Linked DNA regions of Drosophila melanogaster. The gene in region 2 interacts genetically with the main gene of each other region. Each region holds a gene or a part of one and is shown on either strand. Other genes may lie near its edges.

The links. Genes that interact genetically often act in the same process or in processes that back each other up.
Region 1: of lqf (region 2) and Chc, changing one enhances a phenotype caused by changing the other (phenotypic enhancement), as found in Drosophila melanogaster (2 studies listed by BioGRID).

What each region holds. Positions count from the first base shown.
Region 1 is NC_004354.4:15,832,491-15,837,396, reverse strand, and holds the start of Chc (clathrin heavy chain), read left to right. Parts: upstream 1-1,906; 5' UTR 1,907-2,110; exon of another isoform or gene 2,111-2,169; intron 2,170-2,484; exon of another isoform or gene 2,485-2,576; intron 2,577-2,642; exon of another isoform or gene 2,643-2,765; intron 2,766-3,025; 5' UTR 3,026-3,232; coding exon 3,233-3,274; intron 3,275-3,697; coding exon 3,698-3,905; intron 3,906-4,143; coding exon 4,144-4,906. UniProt on the Drosophila melanogaster protein: Clathrin is the major protein of the polyhedral coat of coated pits and vesicles.
Region 2 is NT_037436.4:7,526,863-7,531,795, reverse strand, and holds the start of lqf (liquid facets), read right to left. Parts: upstream 3,017-4,933; 5' UTR 2,610-3,016; exon of another isoform or gene 2,598-2,609; intron 1-2,597. Other genes in the region: ltl (larval translucida), read right to left, coding at 4,749-4,933.

The DNA of each region.
Region 1 (4,906 bases), on a different chromosome or scaffold from region 2:
ATGTCCTGGAAATCGTAACGAATCCACGCATTCCGACCAAGGTATCCCCGCAGCTGTCCGGCGGAATCGTGTGATCCTGTCGCCCTGCCATCGCCGGCACCACAAAGTTCGCGCCCATGTCGCGGCCGCTGTAATCCTTCGATTACATCGTTACCTCACGGCGATAATCTTGGCGGGGCTGTATTATGGCGTTAGAGTGGGCGTGGCAACATGGATCTCAACTTGGGACTCTCAACCTTCTAGCTTTTATAGTTCTCGACGTTCATACGGACAGACGGACATGACCAGATCGACTCGGCTATTTCTCCTGATCAAGAATATATATATATATATAGATTATATGGTCGGAAACGCTTCCTTCTGCCAGTTTCAACGAATCTTACCCTTACGAGTAACGGGTATAAAAAATTGGAACTTGCATTATTATTGGCTCCCACAGAGAAGGGTATATTATTTGAATGACAACAACGTTTCAATGTAAATATATATTAAAATAATCTAGGTAAACATGAAAACGAAGAAAAATAAAAACAGAATTTAGTGGTATCTTTATGTTATCAAAATGAATATGATTGACAAAGCTCAGAGTCCGCAGCATTCTGCCATTTATCCTGGGCTTCCTAGATCCCAAAACCGAGTCGTAAGAACGTCTGTATATACTGTAGAAGAAACTTATATTAATAAAAGAATTTCCCTGGGAAACGAGGAGTTTATCAGTTTACCTTATTCTGTTAGCGACGGATCCTCTCCCAATGGCCCTGGGTTGAGGAATCCTGGGCGGGTGGGACGCCTAGCAGGAATGCGGCAGACTGCGAACGGCCAAAGCATCGAGCACTGGTCAAATTCGGACAATCCAGCTGGGTTTTTTACCACTGCAATAATGAAAAACTTTCAGAAGTCCTCAAGGGATTGCTCATGGTAGAGAGTGACATCGCTTTTGCTTTTAATAAAAGAATTTCCAAATTTTTGTGCCTGCAGGACAAAAATGATTATGTGTACCTTTTCGACAACTTGCTGAGGTGCTGGACCCTTCGCCCGTTCGAAGACTACCGCAAATCTGCGAGCGGGACGCCCGCAATATTCGTCTAGCTCCTTGCCCCATCCTTTGTCATGCCCTTGATCAGTCAAGTCAAGACGGTATAGATTCTATCGCCAAAAGGTGCTTCAAAATCGGATACTGCTGCTTACCTCATAGATTAAGATTTTATTGTTGGGACTCGGTTTTCCAAATGATAAAAACAATAAAAAAAATGTTTGGAGCAAATCCTAAAGTTGTTGTTTCTGTAGCACATTGAGTGTAAATGTCAAAAATAGTATTGAAAAAGAACAAAGTTAAAATCATCGCCTACTTAAAAATAGTATTGCATAGGAACAATGTTAAAATTATCGCCTACTTATTATCCAGCACTTAAGCAAGATAATTAATGTATATATATTTTTAAAAATTAACGAAAGAGAATGCTTTAGTCCCGTTCTCCGACTATCAGATACCCGTTACGCAGATAGTGTGAGTGCAAACGTGAAATTTAATAATTTTTTCTGGGGTGTGTTCTGTTACTCTACGAGTAACGGGTATAATAACTTCACATTCCAAATTAAATTGCTATAAAAAATAGATTTCCAATTAGAGAATATATCCAATTGGATCACTCGATAACACCTGTTAACCTTACGTATGTATTATGATCTAAAAACTTGTTATCGGCAAAATATAAATGAAGCTGATAAAATAAAATAAATTTGTTGTTCCTTACAAAGTTATACTACATTTACCTAAATAATAATTACATTCGAATATTATGAATAAATACGTGTAACAGTAGGATCGTGCGATACAAATATCGATTCGAATGTTGAATGTGGTATCGATGTTTTTTCACTCCACGCAATTGCATATTTGCCGTATATATCGGCATTAATTGTATAACTTTCACACCTCTACCTTGTCTTGCAGTCAGTATTTAGTCAAACAAAAGAAAAATAAACTACATTTGTTAGAGCTTGATAAGAGCTCAGTTTGTCTTCAGTGTGTGTGCCCGTCATCTAGCAACAAACCGACGTGATTATTTCGAGTATGATAGTACTTAGCGTACATTTTTGTTAAATTGCAGTAAGCATACGGGCTCCAAATATCTTTCGATTCATTGGGAAAAAATGTAAAGTGCTAAAGTGCGTGTGTGTGTTCGCTTGCAAATGCAATATATACATACAAATTTTGTTTATTTGATGTAAAAGCATCCGATTAATTTACCGTTTATCTAATTATGTTCTTGTTTATGTGGCATATTGCGGCACTGCAAGTGTGCGCGCTCATCTGTGAGTGTGTGTGCGCGAGTGCTGCTGTGTGCGTGTGAATTGGGAATTACCGCTACTCAATTTGATGTATATACACCGAATTTCGTCAATTTCATGGCATTGTCCCATTGTTATCAGGCGCAAAACAGTGATATTTAAATGCGATTTTCGATTTTCATGCACACACAGGGGGAGGGAAAACAAGAGCAAAATTGCTGTACATGTATTAGTCAGTGACTAATTGTTCAAAGCGCAACTCAACATGGCTGACTTTTTCTGTGGTGAGCAGCGATTTTTGATGATAATGCTGCCTCTTTTCTTTTCAAATTCTCTCTCTTGATTCGCTCTCACTCTCTCTCTCTCTCCCTCGCTCACCTCAAATAAAATAAAGTGCTGGTAATTTTCCCGTCGTAACGGCAAGTGCAAAAACGCAAGAAAACGAATAAAAATACCGATACAAAGGATTAATCGTAGGAAATAATTTCGTCTATATATTTTCTTGCACAAAAGCGATTGGGGATACAATAAGAGACTCGGTGTTTTATTTTAAGGGCGTTTACATCCATATGTACATACATATAGGCCTTTATCTTTCATTTTTTCATCCGGTGACGCTGTCACTTTCTATCAACAATAAAATAACGCCCACAATTTGATTTTTCCTCATTCTTGCCGCATCAGTGCTGTCCATAACTACATGTTTTTCCAAAATCTTTTGTCTTTCGTGCAGCTAAACGTTCCAATGGAAACCGAATCTTAAACCAGAAACCGACTAAACTCGAACGCAATTAAACAACAATAAATCCTCGAAACAAATCAAATACAAACTGTTACCAAGTGTGCAATTCAAGAAAACATCGTATTGGCATTGTTTTCGCAAAGATACATTTACGTTGTAAAGGTCTGTCAATAACTAGACCTCACTGTAGTAGTAAAGATGACGCAACCACTGCCCATCCGCTTTCAGGAGCATTTACAGGTGAGTAATATTAAATATTTTGGATCTACCATCATTACATATCCACATACGTACAACCCACCAATATGCCACGATTACCTACGATTATATCCGATTCATAAGCTCCCCACTTTTCTTATGAAAATTTCACGGTTTCCAGCTCTAATTCAACGTGTAAACAGAAAATATGGGGGCTTAGGTCGAGTTTCTACTTTGCTATACCTTCTATTCAAGTCTGTATACAGTGTATTTTCTATAGAACTAGTTATAATACAAATTTACATCTAAACTTAAGCAAAGTATTGCGAATATTTAATAGTAAATGTGGGTCAATCCAGGCCAGTTCAATAATTAATAATGAATGATTATATTGTGTAATGAGTGCGTATGCTATGATTTTCGATTTATCAATTAACACACATTTTCAATCTCCACTACGGACAGCTCACAAATGTCGGGATCAACGCCAATTCATTTTCATTCAGCACGCTCACGATGGAATCGGATAAGTTTATTTGCGTGCGGGAGAAGGTGAATGATACCGCCCAAGTGGTCATCATTGACATGAACGATGCCACCAATCCCACGCGGCGTCCCATCTCAGCGGATTCGGCTATCATGAATCCAGCTAGCAAGGTCATTGCGCTCAAAGGTAACTGAAACCGATGGTCCAGTCGATCAGAATGTCCGAAGAGGATCAGATTTTAGCTTAAAGTAACGTAGGCTTAGTAAACAGGTCCGCTTGTTATTACAACGTGTCTAGAAAACTTAAAACCTCACTTAAACTTTAACTTGAATATCAAATAGTAAGGAAAGAGATCAAAGTTTTTTTCCGGTCGACTGGGATAATGCATTTTTGAACATGTATAACTTTAGAATATTTCTTTTAGCGCAAAAGACGTTGCAGATCTTCAACATTGAGATGAAGTCGAAGATGAAGGCGCATACCATGAACGAGGATGTGGTGTTCTGGAAGTGGATCTCCCTCAATACGCTAGCTCTGGTCACAGAAACGAGTGTGTTCCATTGGTCCATGGAGGGCGATTCGATGCCGCAAAAGATGTTTGACCGGCATTCATCGCTGAACGGTTGTCAAATCATCAACTACCGCTGCAATGCCTCCCAGCAGTGGCTACTCTTGGTCGGCATTTCGGCACTGCCAAGTCGCGTTGCCGGTGCCATGCAGTTGTATTCGGTGGAGCGTAAGGTGTCCCAGGCGATCGAGGGGCATGCGGCCAGTTTTGCCACGTTTAAAATCGATGCCAACAAGGAGCCGACCACGCTGTTCTGCTTTGCAGTTCGTACGGCCACTGGGGGCAAGCTTCATATTATCGAAGTTGGTGCTCCGCCGAACGGCAATCAGCCGTTTGCCAAGAAGGCTGTCGATGTCTTCTTTCCGCCGGAAGCACAAAATGATTTCCCTGTGGCTATGCAAGTCTCTGCCAAGTACGACACCATCTACTTGATAACCAAGTATGGATACATACATCTGTATGACATGGAGACGGCCACGTGCATATACATGAATCGTATATCGGCCGATACGATCTTTGTTACCGCACCGCATGAGGCAAGTGGTGGCATCATTGGCGTCAATCGCAAGGGACAGGTCCTCTCCGTGACCGTCGACGAGGAGCAGATCATTCCCTACAT
Region 2 (4,933 bases):
TTATCGATTTTGTTGCAAAAGCGAAGAAAGTTCTTTGAGAAGAATTTAGAGTAATGTGGTTCTCGACCATTAAGAATTTCAAATATATGTACATATATATTTATAGCTGATTAAGCATAAGATAATTACGTGCATGTGTACAAAGTAAGACCACGCGTTTTACGGCTTTGTTTGGAAAAAAGTAGATAAAACGCAAAGTACGTGTGTTACTATATTCACTATAAACACTTTATATTGTTGATAAATTTATTGAAAATAATATAATCGAGCAATAAATAAAAGAGGCAAACATATTCTTGATAAGCGAATACCAAATTTTATTAGGCTATCGATAAGACTAAGAAATCCAAATATATACCACTTTCTTGTTTCGAGATATAGTAATTTGATTAGATATCACTTTAAAAACAATTAATAAGGGCAATACTTTTATAACAACATATAACATAATGAGGCTTGTTAAGATATTTTTGTCTTTTCGGCAGTTAAGATAGCAATTAACCCCAGCTGGCCCCAGCAAAATCTCAGAAATACTGCTAAGTTAAGTGGCGTTTATTAACCAGTTTGTAGCTGAAGAATCGCTGTAGTTTCTGATATAACCACCGTTCTTTATGCGGTCCGACGGGTCTGCATTTATTTTTGTTTATTTTTCGTGTAAACAACGCACTTGACACATATCGAGAAGAGCCGGCTGTGGGGAAACTCCATCGAGAACCCGCCTCAAAACTGTATCTCACAGATAAACCCGTTCCGCAGGCATTCGAGCTATGCGAGAAATCGAGTTAATATTGGTATGAGGGGGGAATACTCATACTCGTAAATGGGCAGTGAAATTCATTGACCGATGATCGTAGTAACGATCCACTGCGAAAAAGGGCCGTTTGTCTGCCTCGTTTGTTTGTTTTCATTTGGCCAATGGAAGGCGAAATAATTTAATTAAATGTCGCGCAGTATAAGACGGGCGAAACAAAAAACACTACGCAAATGAAGTGCAAGAGTCAAGTAAAAGTGGGTGGTGGTGATGGTGACGGTCTGTTTTTGTTGTGGTGGTGGTCTGAACTTGAGCAAATTGAATGCCAGACAGAGGCAATGACGAAGCTTTCTTTGTGTTTCTGTGCACTTGACTTTCGGCAAAACGTCACCGCTTCGTTTTATTGCCAAAAAAATATACAGCTGCGCTTGTGTTGGTATCAAAACAAACAGAATGCCCAACGAGTTGCGAATCACTTTGTTCCAAAGGCTGCGAGCCTTGACGCCAGCCAGCGGTTCAATGAACGTATACACTCGTATAGCTAAGAGACGGAAAAAGCTCCCCAAACGCTCCAAACACCGAACTAAACTCGAAATGGGGAGCTGCAGCGTGTGCGTTGTTCGCCGATTGATATGCGCGGTGGTACTGATCAGTCTGCGATCACTCTCGTTATATCCAAACGCAATTAAATGCGAGCAAAATATTCCACATTCACGAGGCTATTTGACGTGCACTATTGTCAGACGTTTAGCATGTTTCCGCTAAGATGAAAAATATTGATGAAAGCCCGTCAGTAGCCCCACAATCTATGATTCCTAAATACATACTTTTTATCTCATCATTAAACAACGAGAAAGCTTTTCTATTTAAACCCTGCAGATTGAACTCAATTCTCTTACAATCTTGGGATTAACAAAACTTAAAAATTTAATACATATTTAAAAATTGAATTGAATTCGCAAAGATCTGAGGATTGGAAATTATAATTTTGGTTGTTTCGACTTAAGGAGAGAATACTGCAAACAAACATTGAAGATTGTACAACGAAAGACCATAATAATAATAAAATGTCTGTGTTAAACATCTGCTTATCTGGTATCTACGTTACTTTCGCAAATGAAATGTTTGCTTTTGGTTTATGGTTATCTTGAGATGTTTTTCTATTAGCACCTCAAACAGGTGGAAAGGGCTAGCCGCTGGTGACGAAGGTCACTGCTCGCTCGCTGATGCTGCCCACTGTGCCACACGATCGCCGGGCCCCTCCTCGATCCGCCTCGGCGTCCCCCATCACCTCCTCCATACCGCTGGCACTGTTGCATTTTCCAATGTTGCTGCATCTGTTGTAAATGCGGGCGTATATTAGGTATCATTTGTATATAATATATTAATGGCTACATGGGTGCTTTCTGTGGCTGTGTGCGTATGATAACGAGCCAGAAATGCGATTAGATTTCATTTGTGACACTAGAACTACTCGCACCTACACACACACGTATACGCACACGGACGCACTGATTGGGGGGCACACGAATGTGCGAAACTTCATTCATTACTCATCCGCCCCCCCTCGCAAACATAAACCCGTTTCCACCCACGCCCCTGGCAACCCTGGATCCACTATGACTAATCACTCGACCGGCTAACGGCAGTTATCAAATAAAAAAAAAAACAACAAAAAACAAAAGCCAAAGAAGCGCTATCAATAAGCATATGTTGTAAAAAACGGTTAGCGGGGAATTACGTTTAGACAAGGGGGATCTATAATTACGGAAAATTATTATTTAAGAAAAAGAAGCCCCAAAGAGAAAGAGAGACAGAAATATGTTTGTGGCCCCCTCCCACTTACTCTTTCGCTCACCTGCAATGTTTCTGTTATTGTTGGTTTTGTTGCTTCACTGCAGTTCGCCTTTGGTTGTGTGTGTGTGCGTGTGGGGGCTCCGCTCGGCTGTGTATGTGTGTGTCTGTGTGTGCGACTCCTCCTCCCCAACTAGTTTTCTTTTCTATATTTTACGACTTTCTTTTCTTTCTTTTTTCGGACTCGAATAGACACGGTCACAAGATGACGATGACGACAATGCGACGTCAACAAAGGGGGAAAATAGTATAGCTGCGCGCACGATATGGATATCCAAAAATCCTGGCACTCTATCGGGTTTATAGGGCTCTCGACTGCGATTGCGATGATATTGCAACTTATTTACCCTTTGCACTCTGCGCACAAAACACGAATTATTATTTCTTTCTCTGCTTTTCGCTTTGCACTAGTGGTGGACCAGAATTGATGGGCACTCGAAATATCGCGATATCGATTTATTCCTGAACCTATCGGTTCTTATCAGTTTGGAGTATAAGTATTTTAAAAATACTAGCTCACAGAAGAGCAAAATTATTCCTGTTATTTAATTATATTCATTTGCTTTTGGTATGTAAAATTTATAAAGGAATAACAATTTATCTTTGACCATCAACTACCGTCGTTCTTTTTATTTTTCTATATGTACAATAAATATTTAAGCTTTTAATTAGTAGAATGTTAAAATTATCTACAAGTTGTTTACATAGTAATTTAAATGTAACGCCGATATTTTTGAGTTGTCATCCCGATTTTTAAACATGATACTCGATGATATCGATAGCTGTGACAAATCACCTATCGATATCACTTGCATTCTCAAACTTACCAAACTGTGGTGAATTTGCTTGCGTGAAAGTGATAACTTTACTTCTCTAAAGTATTTACAGTTGTGCATGGATATTTTCAACATCAAGATTTAAAATTCTGTGTTCTTCTAAATATATTTTCTTATTGTTAAATTAGATAATCATTTGGTTTTTAGATTCTTGTTTTTGTGAGCTGCGAATATCTTAGTTCCCACCTCTACCGTTAGCGGTTACCCAAAATGGCGCCAACAGAACATTTTCAAAAACAAAAAAGGAACTTTGCACTTCCGTTTCAACCATTTTATGAAAAACAACGGCAAGAACATTGCCAAGTTCTTTAAGAAGAGAACAACAAACTCGACTTTTATTTATGATTTTATTTAGAATACCATTTTCATTTTCGTATAATTACACGCTAAAATCTATTTTCTCATTTTGTTAACGAACTGATAACAATATATTTTCTCGTTTTTTTTTATTCGTATTTTTTTCAGTTTGTGCATGTGCACGACTACGGCTGTGTTTGTGTGTGTGTGGTTTTGTGTGTTTGTATGTGAGTGAGTGCTTTTCGTTATTAACATTAGCTCGATGCGATTTGTTGTTGCTGTCGTTTAACTCTAAGTACCTACTTGTAGATGTTCAACGTTCATACGTGTATACAGTTATTAAATATATATAATGTGCATATGCAGTTGCATATTCGATATCGCCAACTTCCTGTTTCTATCGGTCTTGCTTTCGTTTTTTAATTTCACGGTTTGTTTCAATTTATTTTTTATGATCATACTAAACCAGCGGAAAATATATCACCCATTTCGATGTGTTTCAATGTATCAATGTATCAGCTCTAGATATTTAAGAGATTTTAAAATACATAATTTATATATTTGGATTGTTTTCTGCAAATAGTTTAAAATTCCGTGAAATTGAAAACCGAAAGAGTTCCGCTTGCCAACGCCAAAGCACACATACGCGAAATTGAGCCCCCAACAAATAAGCTTAAATCATAAGACTGTCCTCGTACGTTTGTCCCGAATGCAGGATTACATCAAAAACCCAGTAATCGTATCAAATTTTGCATAAAATCGACGAAAAAACTCAACAAAAAAGCGTTTGGTCTGACAAACTGTTCGATTTAGCGATGGCTTAAATAAAACATAAGAACTAAGTTAACTTAAGGCATACAAATCCGAAACTCGCTCCTTCCGCCGTTTGCATGCTGCTCCGTCCGCTCTCCATCGATTCCACCGCCTCCATCCCTCTGCGATTTACAGTAAAATAATGTGGTTATTTTCGGGGGATTCCCCCCGAGGAGCCAAACCCCCAGGCGGAGGACTCACTCCTCCGGCGGTTCCTCGGGAATCTGGAGGCTCTGCGCCGCGTGGGGATACTCCGCGTGCACTGAGTTAGAGTGCACCGACTCGGAGTCCTCCTCCAGCGCATTCGCCTTGCTCGGAGGCGGCGTCAGTGCATCACTGCCCACTGGAGGCTGCACCAGATTGGGGATGTACTCGACCGTCT